5 linked regions of the Solanum lycopersicum genome follow. The protein of the gene in region 2 binds, or shares a complex with, the protein of the main gene of each other region. Links are inferred from orthologs where the notes say so. Each region holds a gene or a part of one and is shown on either strand. Other genes may lie near its edges.

Region 1 (6,093 bases), on a different chromosome or scaffold from region 2:
AATTATAATATGTAAAATAATCTAAAAACCTTAAATAATTATCTAAGCCATAAAATTTCGTGTGCATTCTTAAAGAATTAAATCCTTTTATTATATTTAAGATTTTGAGGTATTAATTTCTTCCATAATATACATTTGATTGAAGTAATGGTATTTTACAAAAAAATATAAAATCTATTATTTGTAAAATTAACATTAAAAAGATTATCGATTAATCAAATTATTTGACTTAAGTCGAGTATAATGACAACACTAAACTTGTTTTCTTCTCAATTCTCTATGATTTTAAAAATGTGTTTCTATATGCGAGCACAAAATAGTTTCACTTTTTTAATAGATGAATGATAAAGTTTTAATTTTTAAAAAATATATAAAATTTTTCATTATTGATTTATATACCTACTTGATATTCAATAATCTTCACATAAATGAGATATCAGATCTATATCACTCGTCATGTTATATTGTATTTAACAAAATAAATATATTGTGACACATTAAATTTATATCACTTGTCATGTTATAATTATATTTATTGCCAAGTATATTATATTTAAAAATTAATCAAAAGAACCTCTAAGAAATTGATGATTTGCAATTTAATCATACAAATTTAGTATAAAATATGAAAGTAAATATATTATATATGAATTACCATGTAGATAGTTCTCTATTTTGAGATATTTTCCTCAGTAATTTATTGTTCAAAATTTATTAATATAACTAATTCAAATTTATCCGAAAAAAAAAAAAAGACAACATGGAAAAAGTTAACAACTTTTTACTGTATCACCAAAGACCATCCTTGTGCTTCACACCTTAAATTAGTGGATTTTGTGGTAGGTGGCTAATAATTTCTTTTTTTGTTTGTTTGATATTTTTGTTTATTTTTATATTATATAAAATTTATGTAACAAAATGTATTCTTTAGTATAATATTTTATCTAAATTTAAAGTTAAAATATTTAATTAAGAACTAAAATAATTTATTTTTAACTGTAATTTCTTTGAATTCTGTCAAAAGAGACTATAGCTCAGCTAAAACTTTAAGATTAACACTAATGAATTTTTTTAAAATTATTTTATAATTATAATATTTGAATAAACTGATGAATATTTTCGATTAATTGCATGAAGTATTTAATTTTTTCAATTATATGTCCTTTGAAACATATCATGAATAATTGTGTTAAATTATTCGCTATCAAAATATCATACTAGTTTTATATTATTACTCAAATATAATCTAAAAAACCCACTTTTAATTCATTACAAATTAAATATACTTAATCAAATATCACAATGACTAAAATTATGAATAATTGAGGGAATAAAAGTAGAATTATCTCTAATAGTACTCTTAAATGGATGAGATTGGACTTTCTCCACGTATTTAGGAAGTTGATTGAACCTTTTTATTTTAATATTTCTTATATTCTTTAAATTGCTTTTTTGAATAGATGGGCAAGCTACTTATTTTATTTTATATCTAATCCCCAATCACATCAATTAATCTCCAGAAAAAGTGGGAAATAAGAAGTATTATTTGTTCAAACTTTTGAATTAAATTTAAAATTATTGAAAATGTTGTCTTGCTCAAAAGTCATAATTGTACAGTTTTGACAATTATTTGATAGGTACTAATATTTTGTTATATGTATTTTTCAATTAATAGACCAAATAAATAAATAATATAAAAGATATCATTTTGATGAACACTTTGACTTATGCTTGTGAAAAAATAAAATATTGTTAAAAAAGTAAATATATGCCAGTACACACAAACATGTACAATAAATATTTCTACGATTAATTCCTTCACAATTATTAGATGAAAAAAATATCAAAGATTAATTTCCACCATTTATATTATTATTTCTATAAAATATATGAATTGTTTCTTTATAACAAAAGAATTATAATTACGGTAAATCAATGGATCTTAAATGTTATACACCAAAATAATTTATTAAAGTTGAACACTTCTAGCTCTTGATCATTGTTATAACACAAAATATGTAACTCGTTTAAATTTAAACCTTGAAATTCCCGTTTAGATGATTTTTTTTTTCTGTTTAAAAGAGGGCTCACCTATTTCTCATGAGGCAGTTTCAACAAAAATAACTACTAGCGACCATGTGTTAATTACCAAAAATGCTCAATTTCGACAGTATAAAGGACTATTTTAGACCATTCTCAAACTTAAAGGACTAGTCTATCATTTTCTAAACAGGGTTGGCATGAAACGACAATATTGTGTGTCGTTTTGTTCGTCTTCTACACAAGCAAAAAAAATATTCAGAGAAGTAAACGGAGCAAACAAGCAGAAGAGTAATGGCGGAAACAATACCCTTCAAAAATCTTCATAGCAGAGAGTACCAGGGACACAAGAAGAAGGTTTCTCTCTCTAAAACTATTCCTTCACTTCATTGTTAACAATACAACCCTAATTTTGCTTTTCCTTTTTATGAACTCTCTGATTAGATGAATTGACTATGTGATACTTTATCTTCTCTGTTTTTTTAAAAAAAATTAAAGGTGCATTCGGTGGCATGGAACTGCAGTGGCACGAAATTAGCTTCAGGTTCTGTGGATCAAACAGCTCGTATTTGGCAAATTGAGCCTCATGGTCATGTAAGCTTCATGAGCTCATCTTTTTTGTTTTCAGTTAAGTTTTAATGCTGAAAAAAGGATAGCTTTTTGTTATTGCTCTGATTTTTAAATGTTCTACTGAAGTGGTGGGAAACTGGGTGTTGTAAATAAACTGAAAAAAGGATAGCTTTTTATGATATATGCATGAACTTAGGCACCTGAGATTTTCTCTAGAGTTAAGAAGCTGGTCTCTCACTTTAGTTGTTTCTGCCAAAGTCTAGTTCTATGTGGTATGAGTTAAGGAACCTATGATAGTAATGCCTGTTGCAGTTAGGTTTAAATTTTGTTGTTACTTATCAAAGGTGGGGTAAAGTAAGCGTAACCTCACTTGTGGGAGGTCATACGAATTCGATGTTATAGATACACAGAGAGGTTTGAATTGGGAGAATGGGTAAAAAGATGCAGAAATGCTCCAGAGTTGTACAGGATGGTAAAATATCGCATGTCCCAGCTCAACGCACTTGGTGTGGAGTTATAGAAAAGCTGGAAAGGTAGCAAAGGAACATTTGGGATGCGGCGGATGGGACAAAGAAGTTTCACCTAGTGGGACGGGAGACCGTGACATCTCCTAAACAGTGGTGAGGACTTGGGGTTAAAGACTTGAAGGTTTTTAACAAAGTCCTCTTGGATAAATGGCTTTGGAGATTCGAGATGGAGGAAGAAGCTTTATGGGAGGGGTGATAGCGGACAAATATGGAGTTATGGAAGGAAGATGGAGAACAAATGTGGTTACCTTCCGAGTTTGGCATGTAGAAGAATATAATGAAGGGGTGGGAAGCCTTTAACAAAAACATTTTCTTTTAAGTTTGGGGTTGGGAGGAGACTAGTTTTTGGGGGTCAAAAGTGGTGCAGTGATTTGGTTAAAGAATGATTTCTTGGTGTTGTATAGCATTTCTGGGCAAAGGGAGCTGTCTGTTCAGCAAATTAGGGGGTGGGACCTTCTGGGATTTCCGAAATTGGGAGATGACCGATCTTCAAAGCTTTCTAGTTTTATACCATAAGCAATGCAAACCAGTAGATAGACCTGATGCTTTGAGTTGGGAGTTGGTGAATAAAAAAGTGTTCTCTATTAAGTCCTATAAAAGCTTCCTGTTAGGGTGGAAGTTAGTTTTCTGTATGACTCGGTATGGACACCTAAGGTGCTGAAGAAGGTGTATTTCTTCTTGTGGTTAGCTACTAAAGGGGTGATATTGACGGTGAAGAATCTTAGGGAATGAAAGGTGGTGGGCATAAGTTGTTGTTTCTTGTGTCAAGAGGCAGGAGAGGACATGATCAATATTTTGCTACATTGCAAAACATCTCGAGGTTATGGTAGGATATCTTTAGATGGTTTGATATTTCTTGGGCAATCCCAAATGTCTGTTGAAGTGTTGATGTTCAGTTGGAAGAGTGGAGTTAGGATAAGAAGACACAAGGTGTGAATGTTACTCCTCTTGCAGTAATGTGGGTCATTTGGAAAGAGAGAAATAGGAGAGCTATTGAAAGGGTGGAGAATTGGAGATTAGCTTTGCTCAATTGAGGAGTAGTCTCCGATCCCTTATTTTCTTTTGGTGTAATTTTTGTTTGTATAGAGGATTGAGGTGTCTTTTGGAGAACCATGTTTGGTAGGTTTCTCCTTTTGTGGTATACTCCTTTTATATGACCAAGATAGCCTTGTTATTATCAATTAAATCTTTTACTTGGTCATAGACCAGATAAATTTTTACTTTGTTAGTAGATCGAGTGCTCCATAACTCTATATCATTTGTCATTTCTCTTTATCAAGGCTATAAACATACTTTTATCTTGTTTCATAGTCGCAAAAATCCCAAGTTCCTCAACTTTGGAATTTGCATGAAGATTGAATGATATTTTGCTTCTGTTGCTCTGTATCAATACTATAAATGTACTTTTATCTTGTTTCATAGTCACAGATCCCAAGTTCCTCAACTTTGGAACTTGCATGAAGATTGTAGTATATTTTGCCTTTGCTTGCAAAAACCTGAACAATTAATAGCTTGCCACCATAAAACTACACTAAAATGATTGCGCCCTATCTATGTTTTCAATATTCTAGTCTTTTCTCATTCTTGAGAGGTGGAGTATAGAACCTCTTATGTCTGCATACACTCCAAGTCTCTGATAGCTCTTTTGCAGGGAAAGGTAAAAGATGTTGAATTAAAGGGTCACACCGACAGTGTGGACCAGTTATGTTGGGATCCAAAACATGCAGAATTGATAGCTACAGCATCTGGTGACAAGACAGTTCGATTATGGGATGCCCGTAGTAAGTTTATATTATTTTGCACCAGCAATAAGCTGCCAAAGTACTGTATGAAATAATGAGTTGGAATTTAAAGAATGTAATGCTATAAGAGCCTATGTCTATTGGTTACTTGAGGACTTGCACTATATTTATTCCCATAAAGTAATCATCCGAGAACAATATTACTCCTGTTTCAAAAATAATTGGAGGGGTCTAGCGTAAGTGGGTCAAACCTGTTAATTTCCGGTCTCAATTCATACATCAGTTTCTTATGTCTAGAACAATCTTATATAGTTAGAAACTGGAAAAAAGAAAACTATAAATTACACATTCTAATATGAAAATATTTTTGGTCAAAGAAAAGGTTATTTGACTGCTTAGAAGTATGTCATGTAAAGTGGAACCCAGGGGGGTTGGGTATGAGTTAGGTAACTCTACATGCACTTTCTTCTTTATAACTACTAATCAAAAACTCTACGTACACTTTCACAGCCTAGTTTCCCGTCAATTTCCAGGAAGTTGAAGATATTCATATGTTTTTATTTATTGGTCAGGGTGTTGCAGATGCTAAAACATTTTGGTCTCCATTTGGCAGGTGGGAAATGCTCACAGCAAGTTGAACTCAGTGGGGAAAATATCAATATCACTTACAAGCCTGATGGGACACATATAGCTGTTGGGAACAGGGTACTCATTATTTCTGTCATTTATTAATTCCTAAAATAAGCACTTCTATATTCTATTATCTTAGCTGCTTATAGATATGTATGTAGTCAAAATGAGTGCAGACAAAAACAGAAATGTATCTTAGCTTCATCTCTTTCTATTGCATGTATTTTCTATCATTCATATTTATGATGGTGAGTTTTATTGGTGATATTCTGTGGAGTTCCGTACTATCTGCTTATCATGGAGATTAATTTGGTGCATATTCTTATTCAGTTTTTTTATGGTACAGGATGATGAGCTAACAATCTTGGATGTTCGCAAGTTTAAGCCTATTCATAAGCGCAAGTTTAATTATGAGGTAGTCTCTTCCCCAGCTAAGTTTACGGTGATTCATAAGCCCATGTAGTAGTTATCAAAAGTTATGTAAACTTGACTTGTGCTGTACTGGGTTTAAGCCTACTGCATTTGGTCCGTCTCTTTCTCTTACTGCTGGCCCTTGCTTTTGTGATGCTAGTGTTCCAATGTGA
Region 2 (5,592 bases):
AAGTAGAGGGGACATTAAGAGGGGCTTGTCCAGTCATGATTATAATCTGGCCCAAAAAAAAACTTGGAGGCTAGTGTCATAGAAGAGATAGTGACCAAGAGATTTCTCTTTTAGAGTTTGAGTCGCCGACTGAAGCAATCAGAGTAAATGTTGGGGAATGCCGACAAAGAGGACACATTATTAGTCTCTTAGTCTCTCTGAATAGATGCCGTTGTCTACCTATCTGGAACTTCAGTTAACTAGAATGTTTAGTTAGATTTGGAGAACTTTTCCTGCACATCTACGGTTGGAAAGTGATTGTTAGAAATATTTGTGCCTTGATTCAAAGATGGAGACGAAAGCCCATTGGTAGTCGTTGCTTGCATCACCTTTTTGATACGTGATGTTTTAATGTTAGGCAATCTATATTTTCATGAAATAAAAATATTATTATATTCAAGCCAATTCAACTATCAGGGGTCAATTAAATTCAAATTTCGCTGTATTTCATTCCTTTACATGGCTGGTAAAACCTGAACAATACTTGTTGGGTACCAGTTATCTTCTCTCTTAGTAAACAAACTGTTCCAGTATTTTCCTGGCTTAACATCTTGTATTGCAGGCAAATGATGTTGTTTTCTGTGGGCGCATTATCATGTTTCTAGCTCACTTCTTCCCCTTATCTGAGCGTTCTGGTATTTAGTTTTCTCTCTCTATATGTGGTTGGATCGCCTGTTTGTATATTGGTGCTAATCTGTTTGCTCAAATTCCTACAGCTGTAAATATAAAGGGTGTTTTCAATACATCGAATGAGACAAAGTATGAGACAGAAGTTCCTGATGGTAGGCATCTTTCCCTTCACTTTCTTGCAGATTTGGTTTTGCACTTTTTTAATGCTAACAGTGCATCAACTTGTTTGGTTTCAGGTATTTCTATTGATTTCAACTTTTATAGAACACTTTGGAGTCTACAGGTTGGTATCAGGTGTTTTGTTCTTTTAGGGGAATACTTTCGATTAGCAAAGTCTGTTAGATAAGCATCCTTAAAAACCTAACATCATGAGATTATTTCTGCATTTCCTGGTTACCCAGTTGCTTTCATACTCGTTACTTCTGAAGAAGTGTCACAGAGTGCTCTTTTACAATTTTAGTGGGAGCTGGAGGTCCTGATATAACTTCTAAAGAATTTACCGCTAAATGTATAAAAATAAAGCATTTCTTTGAATCCATTCCAAGTTTTGCTGTTGATTATCATACTGAATCATGAGGTGCAACCTCTATCACCAAAGCAGCAACACAATATTTATTACAAATGAAGTCATCAGGATGTCTTTGTAACATTGAAATCCTAGTTGATGCTATAGATGAAGTTCAGAGATGAGACTGTTGGTGAGAAACCAGAGGGACAAAGAATTGTTAGTAAACATAGAAGACAAGGAAATAAAAGAATGGATGTATATTTTATGTTATATAAATATATAGACCGGGGCGGGTGGGGAAAATATTTGTGTAAAAGAGAACAAATGCACCTGAACTGGAAGGTTAGGGTTTCTTTGATGTTGATATTACTGCAAAAATGCAGTTTGGGTTTTATGATGATATTACAACATGAAGTAAATTAGAAATGACAAAAGATAGCCATATTTGGCATGTAGTTAGGCTTCAGGGCTTGATCTTGCGTTAAAAGTACGTACAAGCTGGCTGTAGTTTGAGAAGAAGTGATTTGAGCTAAACCAATGTCTGGGTAGCACAACAACCTACTAAAATCCTGCAGCAAAGTTGCAGATTTGTACCTATTGCATAGCGCCATGGTTTTATAGCATACTATCACCATTTGGTGAGAGTGGTAATTCTGATTGTGGATTAGTGGATTCATGGATTATTTCGTATTAAATTTGCTTTTATTAATAGGTATTGGTAAATATTTTAAAAATCGACCCCTCCCCCCAAGAAAGAATCTTTCAAGAAGTATAAAAAGACTTAGTAACCAAATCATGTCCTCTGTGGAAATGATATCATCACTATAAATGGCTATAGAAAATGTTACGAACTCTATGGACATAATTTAATCACTTCAATTGGCTTATTTTAAATTCTGATTTGTTGGTGCTGTAGATGCAATCCCTGTTTCAATTGCATATTCCCTTTTCTCAGTTCCTTCTGTCATAATATCTGAAGGAGGTTCTCTTTGGATATGTCCATTATCATTTGCCATTTCATAATCGTTTCTTCTCAATTTCATGTTTTGCGGTTGCATTACCTTGAATACAAGATTAAAAAGGAATATGTGATTTAGGTCCTTCAAGTGGCTTATAAATGCTTTGCAGTGGGAACTTTAACTTTTGTTGTAAAATTCCTCCACTAGCATGCTTGAGGTATGAGTAGCCATCTTACACTTATGCTGCATTGACTACCCAGTGACCTCTATCGTCACACGCAATGCAAATAGTGGGTACTTGGTCATCTGTGTTGTATTGTTTTCTAAATCTAGTGCAGCCCAGTTAGGTACATCCCTTAGAATCAGCTGTTTCCTGATGAAGATGAAGGCCTGATAAAGTGCCTATTTGATGTCTCTACCACTACCTATGTGTATTGACCTTCGATTCGTAGAAGTTAAAGCTGTAGCTTAGTTTGAATAGTCTCCTTCACAGATGTGAGAACACATTTCTATGTAGTTTTTTTTCATTTTTATTTGTCTTTCTAATAGGAGGTAAGAACAGCAATTTATGGATCAAGTGAAAGAGAAACTCGTGGAGCCGAAGTGGGGTGAGAGAAGGCAAAGAGAAACCCATTAAAATCCAGTAACTATTAGTGTCCAGAAGTTTGTTTAGCAAGGAGTTAGGTTGCTTTTAGCAAAGCATAAGCTAGAAAACCTTCCTTATGTAGTATTTCCTTAAAGTTACGGGGAGATATAAAGGAAACTGATACAACCATGTTCTAGCTCTTTGATTCTGTCAAAATTGATTCCCGACCCCCAAAAGAAACGGATGTAAGCAAAGAGATACTGTCAAACTTAAATTTGAAATTATCTCCCTATACTCTTCTAAAGCAGTCATGTTTGATAATTAATAAGAGTGGCACATCAGATTACGGTGATAGGGGGTCGTCTCTTGTTGAATTCAGACAATCTTTATTTATGTATGAATCACTGCATTTGAAGTATCTCTGATAAGCTCTGGGCATGTGCTTCCCCCAGCTTCCTGTCTTGTTTAGTAATTTTTTTAGCTTTGCTAACTTAGGAATACTTCTGCAATCCACCATCCTTGATTAATGCTCCCGGCAAGTGGCACAAATTTACATCCAGTTTGACGGTACACCTCTTTGTCTGTTAAAATTCTTTGTGATGTTTCTGTTGCTGTTTTTTTCATTTACCATATGTAATGTGTGATCAATTATTCTTTGGGTCTTGCAGCTTGTTCTAAACACTTTCGAGGCTCAGCCTTTAAGTGATGAAGAGGGAAATGCTCATAACCTTGAGGATGATGCTGCAACCTTCAACATAAAATATCTTACAAGCAGTAAACTTATGGGTCTCGAGGTATGGGAGCATTTCCCAATTTTGAAGGCTCTTTTTAAGCAAAAAAGTAGCAAACCCAATAGCATATTCCTGATCATTCTTTTTGTCTCAGCTGAAAGATCCTAGTTTCAGGCGCCACGTTCTGGTTCAGTGCCTCATTCTGTTCGACTATTTGAAGGTAATGATAAGCATGTTGTTAGTTTGAGTTCAAAGTGCAAGTGGATCTTTTAGTAGTAATGTCACCTTCCAACATTAGTTGAAGTTCAGTAAATATATTTATTTTTTTTACAAATTCCAAAAATACTATTGACTGAACTTCAACTAAAGTTGGAAGGTTTTTTCTACTTGAAATTCACATTATCAAAACATCAAATTCAGGTGCATATCTTTGATTTCGATCAGGATCATGACAATCCAATGTTTGATAATCATTAAGTTGAAGATTCTCTAATATACGGTGTCAGTAGGATTCTTAAATGTCTTCGGAGTGGTGTAACATTGGAGAAGAGAGCTAATGAAAACGTGCAAAACGTGCCAAACTTTGTCTCTGCTGGAGTTTTGCTGAGGGAAGCTGTGAGAGTAAAGTTAGCCGAGGGAAGGAGAAGGAAAAACTTTGTAGTTAACTGATAGAGAGGAAACAGTAGATTACGTGGTTTGTAACTTATCTAGAAAGATCTCCTATTGATCTAGTCTCTTGTCATGATGGGGTCATTTGGCTATGACCTACATGTTTGACCATTAGTTTTTGTCCATTATGTCAACTTCCCCTTGAAATAGGGAATTTGAAGTTGAAAGCTTGTTTAAGCATGTCAAGTTAAATAATGGTCCGCTCACAAAACTTCAAGTTGTTTTAAGCGAAATTTATGACAAAACACAACCTCAACTTGCAAATACTTTTTCTTTTTTAAAACTTCAACTGAATAGTGTCCAAACTTCTACTTGTTCGTTATCATGCAGGCACCAGGGAAAAGTGAGAAGGAATTGCCCTCTGAAGCAATGGTTGGTATTGCCTTTGTTGTTTATTTCATTTCATGCCGTATCAGTTTTTTAGTGGTCCTTGATTCCTGCCATTGCTCTCCCTTTGTGAATATATATGTATATATAAAATATAGCACACACACTGATGCATATCGAGATACTTGCGCAAGGGTTTGCCTAGGCGTGAAAGTAAAACTGTTTCACATAACTGTTCGGAAGGACTACTCTTTAATCTTTATATGCTCCTTCCAAAAGAAAACCAGGGAATAAATGAGGCCTTTGCTCTTTAACTTATGTTCTGATAGAAGTTCTCTGAAGGAAACCTTGCAACTGTTAACAGAAGTGATTCTCTATTACAATCTTTAGACTGCTCTTTTCTAGAATGTTGCAAGTTGCAACAGAATTCATGATGATATAACTGATGTTCTTAATATACAATGTTGTGGATAATGAAGAGTATTATTTATGGTAATTTTTGATGTTGCGTATATCTGGGCTACATGTCCTTTCATAAGTTCTTTTCCCTGTTCTATTCTTTACTTCATTCTCATTAGCAAGTGTTATCTTTTGCCTGAACGGGAACCTGTTGTTCCTACATATTTTTTTTCTTTCAAGTGGAAGAATGAGAAAGTAGAACCCACCATTAGGTGGATTGCTATTCTATGGAACAAATACACGCCTAACACAAAAAAATTACTCTCATCCTGTCTCAGAACCACAGCTATCAAGAGAAAACAGAGGGTGGGGTGGAGTGTGGGGAATAATCTTATATAAGTATAAAACTGCTTTCTGGAGAAGAGGACCCATTACCTCAATGATTTGACTTCTCCACTTAAGCAAGGGGCTCATCAATAACATGTCTCAACGCATTGGAAACAATAAAATGATAGCACGTACCTTATTTGGTGCACGTCTTAGGGTGGAAATGGGGTCATGGCATATTCTGGTTAATTTGTGATCATATCTCATTTTATAAATAGATCTTATGGTAAAGAGAAAATGCCATCTCGTTTGTTTCTTTCAACCATTTTGAAGTTCTTGCAGATACAGTGCTGCAGAAGTAGGGATTGATATTTTGTTAGTGATTGCTAGTTTGCAAGTCAAGATGCTTGTGTTTTT
Region 3 (6,169 bases), on a different chromosome or scaffold from region 2:
ATTTGTATGTATGAGTATGTGTTAATTAAAACAGTGAGATGAATTTACCTCATCAATCCAACACTTATTGGGTTGGGACATTTCGTAAATCAGTCCTTCTTTGAAAATGCAACTACAAAATCAAGTTGTTCGAATCCAAATTTCCACCCATTGACTAAGTAGTTATCATTTTTGTCTTCTATAATTGTGTAAACATTATATATAATTATTTAGTGGACATCAAGAAATTCTAATAATAGCTGAAATGACTTTATTTTTTTATATGATATCTGTAGAGGCCATCGTTCATCTATTGCGAGAAGGATGCAACACTAGCAAAAGATTGAGCTGCTGGTGAACTTTCTTGTGACATTTTATCTATAAGATAAATAAAAAAAGCTGAGAATTTACAACTAATTATAAAATAAAAATGGGTATCAATTTATACTTATTTTGACAGAGATGGACATTTATTGCCACAAATGTACCTTTTGTTGACACACATGAATCTTCTGTTTCAATATATGAGTAACATGTTACTAAAGCCATTTTATTGCTCTAACACATATGTGACATGTTCAAACATATAAAAACTATGTTGTAATATATATCAACATATCACCAATATGTTGCAACATATGACACATTTTTTCAACAAATAAAATATATGTTGGACAACTAAACAAGACTATATTTCTACAATCATATGAACAAAATGGTCACAACAAGAAGAATAAAAGCAACAAAAAATGACTTTTCACTGAACTACAACAATGCATATATATTTCTTGAAAAATAGGGTTTATTTTGGGTTTGTGGATTTTCTTTCAAAAATAAGAAATAATCAATATCATTACACCATTATTTAATTTTCACATATATAGAACGATTTCTTGTTTATTAACCCAAGAAAGAACTTAATATCAAGAGTGTGTTGTTCGAAAGTAGTAATATCTTAAGAAAATGACTTATCTGTTTTAAGTCAAACACGACCTTCAGTTCAGAAAGAGAAAGTGACAGCTGGAGATAAGGAGGAAGAGAATGAGAGTATTTGTTGAGGGTCGAATTTTCTTAAGAAAACGACTTATCCGTTTTAAGTCGAACACGACCTTTAGTTTAGAAAGAGAAAGTGACAGCGAAGATGAGGAGGAAGAGAATTATAATATTTGCTGAGGGTTGAATTTTCTAAAAAATTAGAAGATAAGCATGTTAAAAAGAAGAAGAAAAAAATTTAGGCCTTATTTGTTTGCACTTAATAGAGGCCTTAATCTTAATCATTCAGATTCAGTCTATTAAATATGTTTGCTTTTTAGATTTGAATTTTAATCATTCACATTCAGCTCATTAAGTTTATTTATTTTTTCTTTAAAAAAATCTCTTAATGGGTCTTAATGAGTCTAATTAGATCAGATTTATAATAAAGTCTTAATATTTTTCAGACTCCATTAAAATAATAAATGTCTTTTCATAAATAAATTCTATTCTTCCTTGCTTATCTTCTGTTCAAATTTCAAATTTCTTCCTCTCCTTTTCCAATTGAATACCATTTTTCTTTTGAATAAGTAAGTTTTCATAATCTTTTACAAGTATTTAATTAATATTGTTAATATATAAAATATTCTTAGATGAATTGATATTTATGAAGAAATATTTTTGTCACAATTCGTTTATTGCCAAAATTTCTTTGAAATAAGTTATCATTATTTCTTGAGAAAAAAATTGTTTGAGAAAACAAATAAATCATTTTTTTTGCGATTGGTTATAATCTTATTCTTGAAACAACTTTTTGGAAAAATTATCTTGTGTTTGGATTATAAATTTTATTGATATAATGTTTAATTTATAATTTTATAAATAAATAAATTATGCACATAGTCGATATTGAAAACAACCAATCTTAATAATTCAGTGTTTAGACCTAGAACTACATCTTAAAATTCATTTTTTGCATTCAGATTCTAATACCTTGATCGTAATGTGATTCTTAATATCCAAATGTATATTTAGGTTCAAATTCTTAATCTTAATAAAAATAAATAAGATCTTATAACTAAAGTAGTTGAAAAATGTAATTTCTTTTTAATATTTTATATAAGATTAGAAAATTTTGAAAAATGTTAATTTGACCCTTTATTTGTCAGTGTGTCACCAACAAAACCATCCCTTCGACGCCTTTCATTCAATTTTCTCGAGTAAATAATTCTTTCTTATAAAATAAATAAGAAAAAGAAACCCAGAAAAAAGAAGGATCAGAAATTTGTCGCAGAGGGGCATTTATTTTCCTTGAAGCTCCGAAACCCTAAAAATAGAAGAAGTTGATATCGCCATGGAAAATCTTCGAAATTAGGATTTGGTGTTTCTCTATCTTAATTCTTAAAAAGCAAGTGCCAAAACCCTAGGTCGTAGGGTTTGTCATCTTCGACAACAAAAATGTCTCTTTCACCTTTGGAGTATTTGTACTTTACAGAGCACTCCATCAAAGAGTTGAAAAATGGAAACACCAGCTTCAAATTCGCTCAACCACTTCCCACTCTTCGCTTTCTTTATGAGCTCTGCTGGGTTATGGTATTCATTTTATTTATTTATATATTCAATTTTGAACTATTTGTGTTCCGTTTTAGATACTTAGGATTATTTGGAACTTCCATTATTATATAATTGAGTTAAATCCATTCACGTTGTTGAAATATTAGTTTGTTATTTGCTAAGATAGTGATCTTTGTAAAGAAGTCTGATTATGTAGAAAACCGATTAATAGATAATTCACTACTAATTTAATCAATTTGTTGAACTAATAGTTGGTTTATCTGCAAAAAAGTGATTTTTGATAAGTTTGATGAATTTAAAAATGCATTATTACATAATTGATTGAAAACTTTATTCAATTTATTGAAATACTTGGTTAGTTGCTGAAAGGTGATTTTTTTTGACATGTTTGATTATTTGGAAAGTCGATAAATAGCTAATTGGTAAATTATTGATCCTTTTGGGTGTGGTTAATTGGTTATTTGCCGCAAAACACTTGTTTCTGTTTGTAAATTTATTGAATTTAAAGCAACATACTGATTAGATCATGTAAAAGAACTAAAAAAAAATCCCTGAAAGGATATTTTTGTTAGCTTCGCTTTTCATTGGTTTGTTGCTTTGAGGTCTGTGAATTGATTGTTTTGGGTTGTTTTGGGTGTTCAAGGTTCGAGGTGAGTTGCCGTTTCAGAAATGTAAATTGGCATTAGAGTGTGTGGAGTTTGTGGACTATGCATCTCAGGAGGAGCTAGGGTCGAGTTTGGCCGATATTGTTACCCAATTGGCTCAGGATGTGAGTTTTCCTATTCCCTTTTCTTCTTATTGTCAACTATTAATCCTGAAATTACTGTCCATATTTGTTTACTTTTTTTTTTTGAAACTGGTAACTTTAGTCTATATATCCACAGGTATACTACAACAAAAGTGTAGTTCCCCTTCAAAAGTTTTACAAGTTACAGAATAAAAAAGTCTTAGTCTAAATTAGTCTTAATCTAAACTGCTACCTATAACTAGCACATCAAAGATATCTTCTGTCCTAGTTAACATATCTTGTTCACACAAAAAATAGAAAAGAGCTAAGCAGTCCATCTTGATCTTCTGTAAGCTATTCTGCCAATTTTCAGAACTCCAACTGTTTCTCTTTTTCCAGATTGTCCACCAAAAACATGCCGGGACAAGTTTCCATCTCTTCTCCTTGTCAGAAGCATTGCCATCTCTATTCCAGCTGCTCAGGATTCCTTTAATGCTCCCTGGTTTCACCCATCTTATCTCCTTTAGACAGATGAACATTCTCCATAATTGTTATGTCTATGTACAATGCAAAAAAGATGGTTAATTGTCTTAGCATGTTCTCCACATAAAGTACATCTCGAAGCCAACTGAGAGCCTCTTTTCTTTAGATTTGATGAGTCAAAACTGCTTCTTTTGTTAATAGCCACATGAAGCAGTTTTCTCTGTAGGGTACTTTTGGTTTCCAGATGATCTTCCATGGCCATTCCATCTCCTGTCCAGCATTCTTGTTGAGTTCCTTATAGACTGAATTTACTGAGAATTGACCTTTGGCATCATTCTGCCAAACTAATAAGTCCTCCTTTTCAGTGAGGTTGCTGAAAGAGCCTACTGAATTTTGAAATTCTGCCACTTTGTCAATCTCCCATTCTGAAGGTTCCTCCTTAAGAACAAATTCCATCCTTGTCCAGTCCACATTGTCTCTTAATATGTGAAAATACAAGGGTATCTTTGTAAGCTACATTCACTTGCTGCTCTGGACATCAAACAAACACCCTTGATTTTGGCTTATATACCTGCAACCTGAAACATCAATTTCTTTGTTGGAGTTTTATGAATTCTATTTCTTAGTATTAGCTTAATTTGATGAATGGATGAGTATATTTAGTCAAATATCGACTTGTAAAAATCTCATTTCAGTAGGTCAAACTTGACTATATGTTGTTATCACTAGCATTAGTGGCACTAGGTACAGGTGGAAAATAAGAGTAGTTTTTCAGGTTTTCTTTGGTCATTATCAGGACATATGTATGAGTTACAATAGGATGCAGGTGAGTGGAATTGTAATTGCAACAGTCAAGTAGCTAGATAAGCTCTCTAGGGACATATAGGAGCACTAAGTTTCCCTTTGGGACCATAGTACTAATAGAAGCCGGTGTATAGGACATTAGAAACAACCAATCTGTTGCGAAGTCCAGAACAATCAGATTCGTAAGATCTGAATTTCTCTGGTTTGAGTTAGTTCCAAATCATTGAATTTAAATTGCTATTGTGCATGTTTGATTTTGTAGATCTTTTTGGGTTTGATAACTCAGTCGGCTGGTCAAATGCTGTTGCACATATTTCCTTTCCTTTTGGTGTTAATTTGAGCTTGTAAATCATTATAGGCTCCCTAAATAGTTAACCACACATGCATTTTCGATTTTGCTTTTTGATGTAAATACGAAGATTTATCTTAGTGATGAATTGTTAATATATTTATGTAGTTTTTTGTTTAACTGACTTCCTCATCCTTATATTGAGTGTATCACATCCTCTTATTTATGCTGATATGGATAAAAAATGCTAAAACTGATAGTTTTGAGTACAAGCTTTGATAAGATAAATGATTTTATTAATGGTGGAGAAATCTCCCATAGGTGTATACAAGAAAGTAGAGAATCTACAACATAGTGTGAATCTCTACAATTGACACCCAATATGCTATAACTATACCATAAGGTCACTACACTCCAAAAGAAACTAGAACTGAGGCTGTTCCTCCAATGTCGATAGTTGGTCTCTGTACCTTCGAAGCCTATTCTAATTTTCTCCTTCCAAAAGATCCGTATGGGTGCTAGCGGGGCTACATGTTATGCTATGCCTAATGAATAAGTTCCTCTATTGTGCATGACCTTTGTACTCAGAATCATCTCATCCCGTCACAAGTGAGTTGCTAATTGTAGAGATGTGGTCCATATCTTCACCTCAACATTTGCATATAAAATACTTAAGAGGTCTTTTGGTGTGATGGATAAGAGGGTTCCGTCCCAGGATAATTTTTGAGTGCCCTTTAATCCATTGTATGGTTGCAAAGGTTGGGATGACTTATCCCAGGATTAACAATTAGTACTGGGATAAGTTATCCCTCCTGGGAGATGGAATTGTAATCCCAAAATAACTTATCCTGTGATGAAGGTATATAAAATAACAAAAGTACCCTTCTTAAACTCTCATGTATACACCACTTTTACATTCATGTATATTAACATAATCTTAACAACATTTAAAATAACATTCACAACCTTAATTATTTGTGTTTTTATATAATATATTTTTTTTATTTTTCTTTGAACATTGGTAAAGTTGTAACCTTCAGCATTAAGGACATGCTGGCCACATTCAAAAATTTACAGCCCTAACCAAAATTACAAGCTCTCTATTATTTCTATAATTTGATCTACTTCTTCTATACAAAGTGTTTACACCAAAAATTAAAGATACCAAACAATTCCATTTTACTTAGTGAATGGAATTAGATCTATCTTCGAAACATCTCCAACTTCTTCCCTTCCGCACTGACCACCATATGCATTATGGTATGAGTTTCTACCACTTCCTTTGAGTCTTGATACCCCCTTCTTCCCCTTCTGATCCAACATTTAAAAAGATCATAGGT
Region 4 (6,354 bases), on a different chromosome or scaffold from region 2:
TAGTCACTTTTAAATGATGACTACAAGTACATGAAAGAAGAGAACATAAAACAGCTCTAGATAACCTAACCATAACCTTGCCTAAAAGTAAGTAAATGGGTAATAGTAGTTTGTGGAACTTTATTTGTGAAGTTATCGTCTTTGAGAAAGATGAGGGGAAGGAAAGTGAAGGACTCTCAAATAAGTTTTGTATTTATATCATTTACCCTTTGTGCACTGGGCACTTATGCGTCCTTTGAATGGAACTGAGTTGCATTTGTCTGGCCCTAACTGAGTCTAGTATGGTTTGAGTCTTGCTTTATCCAAATGGGAGTCTAGCTTGTTTGATCTCTAAAATTCATACAGCTAATTACACGTATTGCTTGAATCTTATGAATGAAAGATATTGACATATTATTGTCTCTTTATCACTACAGTTGCTTCTAGCATATGTAAGCACAATTCGCTATGAAGGCCCAGAAGTTGACAGAGCTTCGGTTGATCATGATGCTAAAGCTCTTTACAAAGCTGGGGAGAAGAAACTGGGAACTGATGAGAAGACTTTTATACGAATTTTCTCTGAAAGAAGTAGGGCACACTTGGCTGCTGTTAGTTCTGCTTATCACAGCATGTATTCCAGGAAGTTAAAAAAGGTAAGCTGACTTCATTTGAGAAACTTATTCAAATTTCCAATTGTAGTTAACCAGTGTATTGCAATTGTTACAGGCTGTAAAAAGTGAAACCTCTGGACTCTTTGAGTTTGCTCTCTTGACTATTTTGCAATGTGCTGAGAATCCAGCAATATACTTTGCAAAGGTACAAGTTACATTTGTTTAAATTCTTATCAAGTCATAATCATGATGACCATTTTGCCTATAATATTAATATATTCTTGAACTCATGTTTCTGACTAGCTCTTTCTTTTTCTGAAATGATATTGACCCCTTTTTCATTCTTTATTCTAATGCGAGGGTTGAGTTTGTGGTTGGTAATATGGGTGTTGTTTACTTGTGTTATTTTCTCTTTACCTTCCTTGACTTAGATGAACCAACTTAACTTTAAAGTCAGACTTATAACACTTACCTATTAAATTGGTCTATATACGTATTTGGCATTTGTATCTAGTGTGTTTGGTACGAAGGAAAACATTATCCACGTATTGTTTTCCATTTTTCTCATGTTTCGTTGCTCATATTTGAGAGAACATTTTGGTAAGGATCACATTTTCCTCTAATTAGTTGAAAATGACTTCCTCAAGGATCCAAGGCAGTAATAAATTCTTCTTATTCTTGTTGTCTCTATATCTCAAGTTTGACATGGAATGGGATTCTAAAGATTTTCATGTTTTTACTATAGCATCCTTCATTGGGGGCTTCAGAATAATCTCTAGTACTTTGCTATAATCTGTGTTATCATTTTTGTCTTAGATTTAGTAAGCTATGCTAATTCTTACATGAATAAATTGTATAAACTCTGTGGCTGTACTGCACCTTACATATGTTAAATGGATTCAGGAGTTACACAAGGCAATGAAGGGCTTGGGGACGAATGATACAACTCTCATAAGGATAATAGTCACGCGAACTGAGATTGATATGCAGTATATAAAAGCAGAGTACCAGAAAAAGTATAAGAAATCTCTTAATGATGCTGTTCATTCGGAGACTTCTGGTGATTATCGGACCTTTCTTCTATCTCTTCTGGGGCCTGGTCACTGAATCAAGAGTCTACGCCATGCAACAGGTGTTATTAGTGTGGTATTAGTGTTGAAACTAGTGTGTAAGCAGTTTCTATTGTATGCTAATTATTGTTTGCTTATTTGCTGAGTAGTTGATTTGGAACAATGTCTGTCCATGATCAGTTGGATACCTTTTTTAGTTTAGTCGAATGCTAAGTGTGAATGGTGTTGTGAAGGTGCTTTCAGATGTACACTTATTTGGGTATGTTTGGTACCGGAGGAAAATATATTTTTTCCCACCTAAATTTCTCATGTTTGGTTGGTTAAATTTTTTGAAAAATATTTTGCAACATCCGTTATTTCCTGCCCTCACTTTAATAGATTTGTTGTTTGTGCGGTCAGTATTTTATATTGTTGAAAAATTAAGTTTATACTTTGTTCACTGATTATGATGGTCCAATTGAGATTTTTTTACGTATGAGTTAGAAAGTCAACTTTAACATCTCTCAACCATGTCATAATTTTATTCATCTCATTGTAATCGCGTTTAGTAAATTTTGACTGTGTATGACTGTGTTGGGTAGGCAATAATATTTATAGACTATCACGTAACTTTGACCAATCATTCCTTTAAAAAAACTCTCGAGAGCCACAAATATTAAAAGAATGGACAATAATAAGTAGTTGAAGAAAATTTGTTTTCCTATTCAATTTTAAATGCTACATAGATTGCTCTTTTATTATAGGGTGATGATTTGCTTCATATATCTCATTTTAAGGGTATTAAGTATGTTTTATACAATTAAACAAATGAAGAAAAAAAGGAAGTGGTTTGAAAATATAATTGTGTCTAATGGTAAATGATCACATTAAAAGTAGTATTAAAATTTTGAAGTCAAACTATTATTGTTGTTATTATTATTTTTAGAGCGCTCGCTACTTTATTTGCTTGTCGGAAGTTATGACGGACTATCAAATTTCCCAACAATTTTTCAAAAATTTTTGATTAATTAAAAAATAAAATATTAAAGGAAGGAATTTACTAAATTTGTATTTGTATTTTCTAAACGAGTAAACAATGTATCACATAGAAAATAATTTTTGAGTAATACAAGAACATCTTGAAACAAAAACATATCTCTTTTTAAAAAAATCTTTTGCCTAATTTTTTTTCCTTTTAAATTATGGAAATTAATGCTTAAAAAAGGAGAAAAAAGAAGGAAGCAATAAGAAGGGAAGACCGAAGCGCTCGCTCGAGCAAGAGTAAACGGATCAAACCCTAGTAACGTACACATCCAGAAGCTTAATGTACCACTTAAACCTGTAGGCAGCGACTGAGTAAAGATGAAAATGGACGTAACCATGGGGGAACCCGGTGAGATACTGCCGGAGCACAAGCCGGAAAGGTCGCCGCACGAGGTTCTGCAGCAAAGCAAAGCTTCAGTAGAGGAAATCGTCTCGAAAATGCTTTCTATGAAGAAAGAAAGCACGCCGAAATCTGAAATTCGCGAACTTGTCACTCAGATTTTCATCAACTTCGTCTCTCTCCGTCAGGTTAATATTTCATTGCATCTCCAATTGTTCCTTTTTAAAGTTCTATGAGTCCAGTTTCCAATTAAATAATCCGCTCGTCAATCCGATTTTGAAGTAGAGGTAGCATTTTGTTGTTAACGAAGTGATTAGACCAGTCAAACGAAGATGAGTTTAAGTTTAAGTATGAGCTGTTAGTACTCTAGACTCAATTTTTATATATGTATCATCCTTATGAATGTTGGTTGATGTAATTCAATGGACTCAGCTACAATACTCAGTGAGAGACTGAGAGTTGCTCTAAACCTTTGTAGGTAGATTTACCGGAGACCTGTGCTTTTTAGGTACAGCTGCCCTGGCGCTAGTTCATTTGGGACTATCATGGAGGGAGTCTATGCATAGTTAATTAATCGGATTTAGGAAACTGCGACCTTTCTCCGTTGTATTCTATTTTCATCCTGCAAAACACCTGTTAGTATTGTTTATCTTTGATCACTCTGGTTGGTAATCTCAACTCAATTTTATTTATTGAGTAGTTCTGATCTACGTGTACATAACAAACAAAAAGAACTGTATACATGTGCTTCCGTTTCTTCCTTTCTCTTTTTGGCAATTAAAGAAACATTTTATTAATTTCCAACTACCAAGTGAACTCTTTACAAAGCTAGGATGAAATATGAATTAACCAATTCAATCCTTTCTCATCTCATCTGCTAGAAACCAAACTAAATGGCAAATATAGTTAACTGCTCATTTAGTGATTCTACATATCTAAACAACATCCTACTATTCCTAGTTCTTGTGTTCAGAGAGAGCTTCATCTAAGTGTACTAGTTTCTCCTTGTGCATGGATGTGATTTGCAAAATCTGTCTGTTTCTTTCTGGCCATATACCATAAACCACCATAGTTAGACTACTTTTAAGTATCATCTTCCTTGGATCTTCGCCTCTGAAATTTTGTTGCATCCAACTCCATTCAAGTTCCCACTCCAGTATTGCCTTGATCCTTTTCTGCAATTTGCATATGTCGCTCCATATATCTTTAGTAAACTGACACTTGAAAAATAGGTGACTTCCAGTCTCGACTAAAGTGCTGCAGAAGATGCAAACAGGATATACACGAGTCCCCATCTCAAGAATAAATTTTTAGTTTTTAGCTTCCCCTGTAGACTCAGCCATAGGATGAAACTGTGTCTAGGTACAGCTATGTTATGACATAACAATTTATTTCATTTTGGTCATGGTACTAGGAAATGGAATCCTTAAATGGCGCCTTATATCACAATAATATAAGCAGCTGATTCTGTAGAGTGGGCTGCAATAAGGGCCCGGTGTCATTATGTTAATGAAAAATGGCTCGGCAGTATGTTGACGAATTGTCCCTCTATAAAAACAAGTTTTATAAGTCCAGGGACATGAGAATAGATCAAAAAACAGGGAGACTCAACCGTCTCCTGAAAGAGATGCAGCTTTGTTGAAAAGACAATTATCTCGCTTGCAAACATATCTGGGCGAGATTAAATATATGACTGGGGTACCCGATATTGTAATCAGCGTTGATCAACACGAAGATATATGGCCCTGTGAGAGTGTTATTACTTTAGGAATTCCGACAATTTGTTTCTCGAAGATTAGGTCTAGTTGTTAGGCTGTACCCTTAATATTGGAGAGTCGGTTGTATCTTCTTGTGTTTAAACTCGAATTCTGATTGAATGAAATTATTGCTTGATTGCTTTACTTCTCAAACTTGAACATGCTTCACTGCAAATTGCTCATATAATGTCTCTTAGGGTTGCAGTTATTATTGTTAGGCTGGACATATTCCATGTAAAGTTTAGATTCATATATTTTTATTTGATTTTTTGAGCTCCACACTTTGAGTAAGGTACTAATCCTTGAAATTTGTGGAACGTTTTGGGCTCTCTTATTTCATCTTACCATTATTAAGTTGTTTTAATAAACCAACGTTAGGATTGCGGAATAGCAAAATAATTGTGCCATTAAATCTATGCACGGAAGTAATTTGTGCCTGGAAATCTATAATATGTTCGACTGACTTTTTCACACTACCTTAAACGTCCCATAGGCAAATAGATCAATATTGCTCGAAGAGGATCGTGTGAAGGGGGAAACTGAACGTGCAAAAGCTCCTGTGGACTTCACCACGCTGCAGCTCCACAACTTGATGTATGAAAAAAGTCATTATGTGAAAGCTATAAAGGCCTGCAAAGATTTCAGGTCAAAATATCCTGATATTGAACTTGTTCCCGAGGAAGAATTCTTTAGAGATGCACCCTTGGAGATAAAAAACACTGTTCTGTCAAATGATAACTCACATAATTTGATGCTAAAGCGGTTCAATTTTGAGCTATTCCAGGTAAACTAGTTTAATGCAATTGGCGAGCACTTCTTTCTATTTCCGCACTAGTAATTGGCGAGCACTCCTTTCTATTTCCACATTAGTAATTGTTTACTAGTGTTCTTTCTCAGCATGTTGTGCGAAACGGAGTTGTTAGAAGTTTCATGTTGCTTGGTGAATCAAATTCTTATCTTTATTCTTAAACTCTATGTCTTTATGTACTATCATCTTTCCTTTTTTTTTTCTTTTTTTTTTTAAAGGTAATATTATAATCATCTTCTTTATTTCAATTACTAAACTGGTTCCAGAAGTAGATGTTGTGAAGAAAGTTTCATACCCAATGTTGTTACAATCAATAAAAATACTCTGAAACTATACCCAGTTTGGCTACCCTTTAGTGATGCTTTTGACTGTGGATTCTGCACATATTGTACTTATCTGTTCTTTTTTTTTAAAATATATGTTATGTGTAGAGGTTGTAACATGTTATTGCATGAGCTCGAAAAAATCTTGGGTATTTTAGTATTGGCTAATGTTGAGGTCAAATTTTATGCTTCTCTTGACTCTTTTATGTCGCTAAGTTTGAGGTCACATGGAGGTTTGTACGTCAATGGGGAATAGAGATATTCTGAAAATATACCCACCTTGACTTCCCTTGTAGTGGTGCTTTCAGTGGATTCTGCACATATTGCACGTGTATAATCTTCTTATAATGTAGATGTTGCAAAATGTTATTTCATGAGCTGGAAAAAGATCTTGGTACCATTTAGTATTGGCTAAAGTTGAGGTCAAATTCTATGCGTCTCTA
Region 5 (6,287 bases), on a different chromosome or scaffold from region 2:
GTACAATAATTTTTACGCTTGTTGTAGAAATTTAAACAATTGTTGTAAAACAATTCGTTTAATTGATGCAGAGAATTATAACAATTGCTATGAAAAGTATAATAATTTGCTTATTTGTGTAAGATTACTATCAAATTTATTTTTATTTGTAATTGGGTCAAAGATCACTATATTTATCATTATATATGAGTGTTATAACCAATAAACAATCATTTACTCATTATAAATTGATTAATTTACTCATTATAAATTGATTACATATGAAATTGTAATGGAATTGATTGTCCAGTATCTCAAATAACTATCTCAATTCTCAATATATAAGATCACTATCTAATATAAATTTTATTTTAAAATTATATTAACACTACACTATTTATCATTAAATATGAGTGTTACAAAAAAAATAATTATGTACTCATTATAAATTGATTACATGTGAAATTGTAGTGGAATTGATCGTTTGATATCTCAAATAACTATCTCATTATATAAGATCAATATCTAATATAAATTATTTTTTAAAATTAAATTAACACTGCTTTATTTATTATTAAATATGAGTGTTACAATCATTAAACAATTAATTACGCATTATAAATTGATTATATGTGAAATTGTAATGGAATTGATCATCTGGTATCTCAAATAATTACATCATTTTATAAGATCACTATGTAATATAAATTGTAAGCGTAAATTAAATGAAACTACTCAAATTTTCATTAAATATGAGTGGTATTGTCAATTGAATTAGCCAATTAATTTGCTTACTTATTAAAGAAAATTTAGTAATTTCTATATAAAGTACAACAACTTTCTTACTTTTTGTGGAAAACTTCAGCAATTGCTATGAAAACTACAATAATTTTCGTACTTGTTATAGAAATTTTGAGCAATTTTTGTAAAAAACTATAACAATTCGTTTAATTGTTGTAGAGAATTTCAGCAATTGCAATAAAAAAAATATAACAACTCATTTAATTGTTGTAGAGGATTTCAGCAATTGTTATGAATACAACAATTTACTTATTGTTCGTAGCAAATTCAAATAAAATTACAATCCAATATAGATTTTCCTTTTAAATTAGTCAAAATCCTTATATTTATTATTAAGTCTAAATACATAAAATCCATCCTGAAGTTGGCAGCAAAACTTGTTTTAGTACTTTAACTTTACGGGTAATTATTTGCCCCCCTAATCTTTTTGCAAGTGAATTAAATAACACCTTACATATACAATACCAGTTTCATATACATGGGTGAAGTGCAGGCGCTCCACCTAAGTGTCACATCGATGACATGTTAGATAATTATTATTTTTTTACTTTTCCAAATCTTTTTTAAAATATTATTTTTCACTCTTCACCCACCCTCTTCATTATTTAATTTGGGTCAATTTCTTAAGATCCAAAATTTCATATTGATTGATTCATTTTATTTTTCATTGCTTTGTAATTATTTACTATTACTCCCATCAATACTTATATCAGTCACCATATATTTTTTTCAACTAGATGAAACTATCAATTCATATCAACAATGGCGATTTTAAATTTATGCAAAATTGATAAGCTAATTTTTTAGATTTGATGTTGCTTTACTTATTTCACTTCTTAATACATATTCATGTATAGATTAAGTAAGGTTATAATTAGATGAATAATTATTTTGTCAAGGAAAATCAAATCTCAAAAGTAAAGGATAAAGAAAATTATGTAGATCGTAAATGTGATTTTCTATTTTTGTATATCCAAAAAATGTATAAAATCCATCACTATTCTTTTCATCTATCACTAAAGATTCATCCCGAGTCAAAAAACAATTTCTTATTTTCATTTTTTTTCCTCTTTCCGTTATAATAATGTAGTGCAGTTAAATAGAAATTTAGTTACATGCCATCGATATCATTTTGCTAAATCAAAAATATCCATAAAATTTCTATTATCAACAAACGCCTACTTAGTATTAGTATTAGTATTCATTGGAATCTCCATTTTATTATAACTTTTTGCTAGCTTTAAAAAAATATTTGAATCTGTTCTTATTTTGATTCTTAGTTGTGGATTTTTGTGTATTTGTTGTCTGCAATTTTTCTCTCAAGGAAAACCGATCTAGATATATCCATCTTGATGGTCTCATGTCACCTCACTTTATCCCTTTTGCTTTAATCAATTCCCTTGAGATCAATGACTTTGAGGAAATAAAAATTCTCACTTTTGTTAGGACATGTTTAAAATTTCAAATTTTCAATTTGATTTTGTTTGGAGTCTTAAAAAAAAAAAAAAACTTTACTTCCGTTAGCTTGAGTTTTGATAAGAGGATTTGCCATGATAGCAAAAAATTATAATTCAAAAGTAATATAAAAATTTATATACAAAAACAATGCAATGAATCATCAACCGTTACAATCTCAAAATCCTAGCTATGAAAGAAAAGAATATTACCTTAAGGGGTAGATGACGACGATGACGAAAAAGATAAATTGAATTCGCAACTTGAGAGGAAGGCATTGAAAAGTCGTAGCAATAGAGTTGTTCGCAACAATGTACCCAAAATACACTGTTAACTTGAGAGAAAAGAAAGATAATGAGAATTGGGTTTATTCAAGTGTTTTAAAAATTTAAAAAATTTAAATATTGTATTTTAAATTCCAATTATCTTAATCTCTAATTAATTTTTTTTTTAACTCGGATCAGTAATTTGTCACCAATTTTAATTTCTAAACACTTTTTGTCAAAATCCCCTCAATTATCTCGATTCACTACACACAAAACATTACGGTAACAATGGCGACAGCCATGGACTGCAGAAACTGGGAAGAAGACATATACAGAGATTCCATTATACTCGAGAGAGAATCTCAATGTCGAACGGTCTTCCGGACTGCATTTGCCCCGAACCCGGACCATAATTCCTATCCGGACCTCATCGTCGCCGCCATTAGCGACGGCTCCATTGCGGCTTACTCTATCTCTTCTTGCCTTGTAAGCTCAATATTACAGTCTATAAAGTAGGAAAGAACGTTAATATAGGGGTTGCTCTACAAACTAATTGCTACTATTTAATTCCTTTTTCTTATTGATAGGGATTGAACTCAGCGGGCAAGTGAGTTTCTGTTGTCTCAATGTTTTCGAAGTGTTCTGGTCAGGTTTTATTTGGATTGATATTTTATTTGGTGATGTTGGTTTAGTTCATTGGTGCCAGTAGCTGAACCTAGTTGGCTGGTACAAGGACATGATGGACCTGCTTATGATGTTAAATTTTATGGTAACCATGAAGATTCACTATTATTGAGGTAGCTTTTCAGAATTTGCGTCTATCTTTCTGTACTGATAAAGCTGTAGGTAAATTTGCACAGATGGGAGATATTACAACTTTTTTCTTTTGTTTAGAATCAAAATTATGGGAAAATGTTACTTCAAGTATCTAAAATGCAGGTAAGAACTTTTAGCTTGACTAGAGCTCATATGCTATATTGCTTGGACTCTTCAAAAATGTCATTGGGTGCGTGACGAAGGATTCTCCAAAAGTAGTGTATTTTTGAATAATCTGACACAGTTGAGGCATCAAAAGTGAAGAGTCCGTGCAAGTTAGCTCATATGTTAGGGCAAGTAGAGAAAAGTTGTAAAACTGTTTCGTACGGAGGTTTTAGAGAGTTGTAGTTAATGATTGAGCTGTGAAACTATGTGAAGTAATTTTCTTTTCAATTAAGTAAGCAAGAGAGGCAATTATCTTGTGGTACTTATTACATAAAAGTAAATAAATCCTATTAATTTCACCGGTTAGTGTTATTTATTCTATCACATGTGCCAATTCTTTGTTAATATATGTAATTTCATGCAGTTGTGGTGATGATGGTCGGATTCGAGGATGGAAGTGGAAAGAAATGTTGGGATCTACGGAATCAGCACAAGGTAACATCTTTTTTGTGTGTGCAGTAATGTATCCTTGAGTAGTTTGAGATTGAGGTGTAGTTATATTGTTGTTGAATGACGGATTCTAACATCCTATTTATGAACATTTAAAAATGTTGAGCTCCTTTGCTTGGATTTGCTTCCAGTTCTAGCATCCAACACTTTTGCTGTATTGAAACTGATGCAGCTGAATGATTTGTTTGGCGGACAAACTTGTTATAATGTCCTCACATTATGAAAGTAAGTTCAGGAGGGGAAAGAACAGGGGATGCAATGTATATGTATTTGTGTCTTTCATCAGCTTACCAGATTAGAAGTTAAAAATGTCAATTCAGCAACTTCAGATTTTCAATCTGCCCCTCTTGTAGCAGTTCAGCTGATGTTTTTTTTTTCTGATGAAGGTAACAACTTATATTAGATCACAAAAAGGGCTGTGAAGCAGTATTCACAGGAGTATTAGAAGGCAAAAGCTACTATTCTAGGAAGATATCTTCTAGCAAAAAGGAAAACTATAGAGACTCTAGGACTTGAAGTAGTGTTTCAGTGTCTTCTATGTATTCTTGTTTACATTAAAAATGAAATAGCAAAATAGAATTAAACTTTATCTTTTGGATTGGGTTTCTTTTGCATTCAAAATCAAAACATCTTTAATGTCTTTCCTTCTAAATATCCCTCCATATGCATCCTGGGATTATGCTCCATCTTCTTTTCTGAACTTTGGTGCTCCCTTTTCTTCTCCAGCTAGATAGCATCTCTACTGAACTCCCTGACATAGTCCTGCTCAAGCCTACATAACCCAAAACAAATCCCAGAGTTGGGTGGTTACTCTGCAGTGCAGGAACAAATGATTAGTTGTTTCTGCAGTTCTTCCATATAAAAGACAGATAGAACATAGCTGTAGTTGCATTCTTTGTTGCTTATCCTGTATCGAACAAGCCTTTTTACAATACAAAGCAGGGCACCTTATATGGAATCATAGTCTTTCTATCTGTGCTTCCAAGGCCAAAAGTCACTAATATTGTTGCCATAAATCAGCTAGTGGTTTGCTGTTTTGATTGAGAATTCACCTGAGTTGTGGGTTTTTCCACCATAATATGTCTCTGAGGAGGGTGGTTCCAGTATATTGAGCAAGTGTGTCATAGAATTCTGCAAATCTGCTAATCTCCTATAGCTAAAATTCCATGGGAATCAGTCGGGACACGGGGAGAGATGGAAGATTGTCCCAACCTGCATTTGGTGGACTATATGGATGGAAAGGAACCAGAGATGTTTCGAAAACAAGAGCCGCTCTCTGCAGAAACTGAAGATGAACTGTCTAGTCCTTTTTTTTTGGGTGTAACACAAATATCCTCAAGAAGAGGATATTCCTAGTATTTTAGAATTTATGAAGCTTAGTAGGGACACCTCTCCCTCTGTAATTTTGTTGCAAGTATACTGGAATACTTTTCTGAGTATTCCTTTTGTTCATAATACAAGTTACCTTCTTCAAAAAAAAATAAAATTTCCAGCCAAGATTACTCCATTCACCAATTTGGCTCTTTGCTACTGATTCAGGATCTAAACCTCCATTAAGAGAAATTTTAAGGATCCAATTCAAGCCAGTTTTTTTGAAAAACGGTAATGTTGTATTCCTCAGCATTAAGGACATGCTGGTGACCTCCAAAAATTCGTACATAGAGGGACTTGGAAGGCTAATTACAAAAAGCCTAACATATCCCTGCCACTGTAGGATGTCTTGTCCAGCCTACAAACCACTGAATTGGTCAATGGTGCTGAATAATTTTGCTACTCTTGGTATTTCCCAATCATTGAGGTGTATCCTGAACACAAATTTCCACCCTTAAGGTGTCCACAATTCTGCTATTGTGCTGTGTTGATGTAAAACTAAGTTATAAATATGTAGGAATAATGTCTCCATGTTGCCTGCTTCATGCCAATCATCCTTCCAGAAGACAATTTTAGCTCCATCTGCCACTTTGACTATGGTATTAACTTTGAATTCATTCCACGAAATTCTGATAGATTTCCATAAGCTAACACCATAAGGAGTAGTGATCCCTTTGTCATCCAATTTAGCTTAATGACTCTAGCTCAAAGACTTCGATTTTCATTTGAATATTTCCATAGCCATCTCATTCTTAAAGCTTTACTCTGATTCTTCAGATTTTTGATCCCCAATCCCCGAATCTTTTCTCATTGATCACTGCCTTCCATTTGACTAGGTGGTAACTCTTCTTGTCTTTGTTCCCTTGGCATAGAAATTTCCTCTTGATGCTATCCAACCTATTGATTATTCCTGTTGGGATAGGAAATCATGACATCATATATGTTGGAAGTGCATCAAGCACAAAGTTTATCAATATCAATCTT

Evidence for each region.
Region 1: THO complex subunit 1 (region 2) and THO complex subunit 3 share a complex: the UniProt entries of both Arabidopsis thaliana proteins name them as parts of the THO complex. The link is inferred for Solanum lycopersicum from reciprocal best matches to the Arabidopsis thaliana genes THO1 and TEX1.
Region 3: THO complex subunit 1 (region 2) and THO complex subunit 2 share a complex: the UniProt entries of both Arabidopsis thaliana proteins name them as parts of the THO complex. The link is inferred for Solanum lycopersicum from reciprocal best matches to the Arabidopsis thaliana genes THO1 and THO2.
Region 4: THO complex subunit 1 (region 2) and THO complex subunit 5A share a complex: the UniProt entries of both Arabidopsis thaliana proteins name them as parts of the THO complex. The link is inferred for Solanum lycopersicum from reciprocal best matches to the Arabidopsis thaliana genes THO1 and THO5.
Region 5: THO complex subunit 1 (region 2) and THO complex subunit 6 share a complex: the UniProt entries of both Arabidopsis thaliana proteins name them as parts of the THO complex. The link is inferred for Solanum lycopersicum from reciprocal best matches to the Arabidopsis thaliana genes THO1 and DWA1.

The regions. Positions count from the first base shown.
Region 1 is NC_090806.1:70,054,491-70,060,583, reverse strand, and holds the start of THO complex subunit 3, read left to right. Parts: upstream 1-2,217; 5' UTR 2,218-2,334; coding exon 2,335-2,397; intron 2,398-2,538; coding exon 2,539-2,634; intron 2,635-4,788; coding exon 4,789-4,918; intron 4,919-5,492; coding exon 5,493-5,584; intron 5,585-5,855; coding exon 5,856-5,924; intron 5,925-6,093. UniProt on the Arabidopsis thaliana protein: Acts as a component of the THO subcomplex of the TREX complex which is thought to couple mRNA transcription, processing and nuclear export. Contributes to the integrity of the endogenous trans-acting small interfering RNA (ta-siRNA) pathway.
Region 2 is NC_090800.1:83,526,489-83,532,080, reverse strand, and holds part of THO complex subunit 1, read left to right. Parts: intron 1-601; coding exon 602-674; intron 675-755; coding exon 756-821; intron 822-905; coding exon 906-952; intron 953-3,217; coding exon 3,218-3,289; intron 3,290-3,390; coding exon 3,391-3,516; intron 3,517-3,607; coding exon 3,608-3,673; intron 3,674-4,452; coding exon 4,453-4,494; intron 4,495-5,592. UniProt on the Arabidopsis thaliana protein: Acts as a component of the THO subcomplex of the TREX complex which is thought to couple mRNA transcription, processing and nuclear export. Contributes to the integrity of the endogenous trans-acting small interfering RNA (ta-siRNA) pathway.
Region 3 is NC_090804.1:20,377,932-20,384,100, reverse strand, and holds the start of THO complex subunit 2, read left to right. Parts: upstream 1-2,098; 5' UTR 2,099-2,409; coding exon 2,410-2,544; intron 2,545-3,169; coding exon 3,170-3,295; intron 3,296-6,169. UniProt on the Arabidopsis thaliana protein: Acts as a component of the THO subcomplex of the TREX complex which is thought to couple mRNA transcription, processing and nuclear export.
Region 4 is NC_090803.1:65,320,922-65,327,275, forward strand, and holds the start of THO complex subunit 5A, read left to right. Parts: upstream 1-2,710; 5' UTR 2,711-3,001; coding exon 3,002-3,211; intron 3,212-3,501; exon of another isoform or gene 3,502-3,687; intron 3,688-5,273; coding exon 5,274-5,564; intron 5,565-6,354. Other genes in the region: annexin D5, read left to right, coding at 417-632, 706-795, 1,494-1,697. UniProt on the Arabidopsis thaliana protein: Acts as a component of the THO subcomplex of the TREX complex which is thought to couple mRNA transcription, processing and nuclear export.
Region 5 is NC_090806.1:51,842,112-51,848,398, reverse strand, and holds the start of THO complex subunit 6, read left to right. Parts: upstream 1-2,501; 5' UTR 2,502-2,789; coding exon 2,790-2,987; intron 2,988-3,088; coding exon 3,089-3,108; intron 3,109-3,193; coding exon 3,194-3,298; intron 3,299-3,846; coding exon 3,847-3,917; intron 3,918-6,287. UniProt on the Arabidopsis thaliana protein: Acts as a component of the THO subcomplex of the TREX complex which is thought to couple mRNA transcription, processing and nuclear export.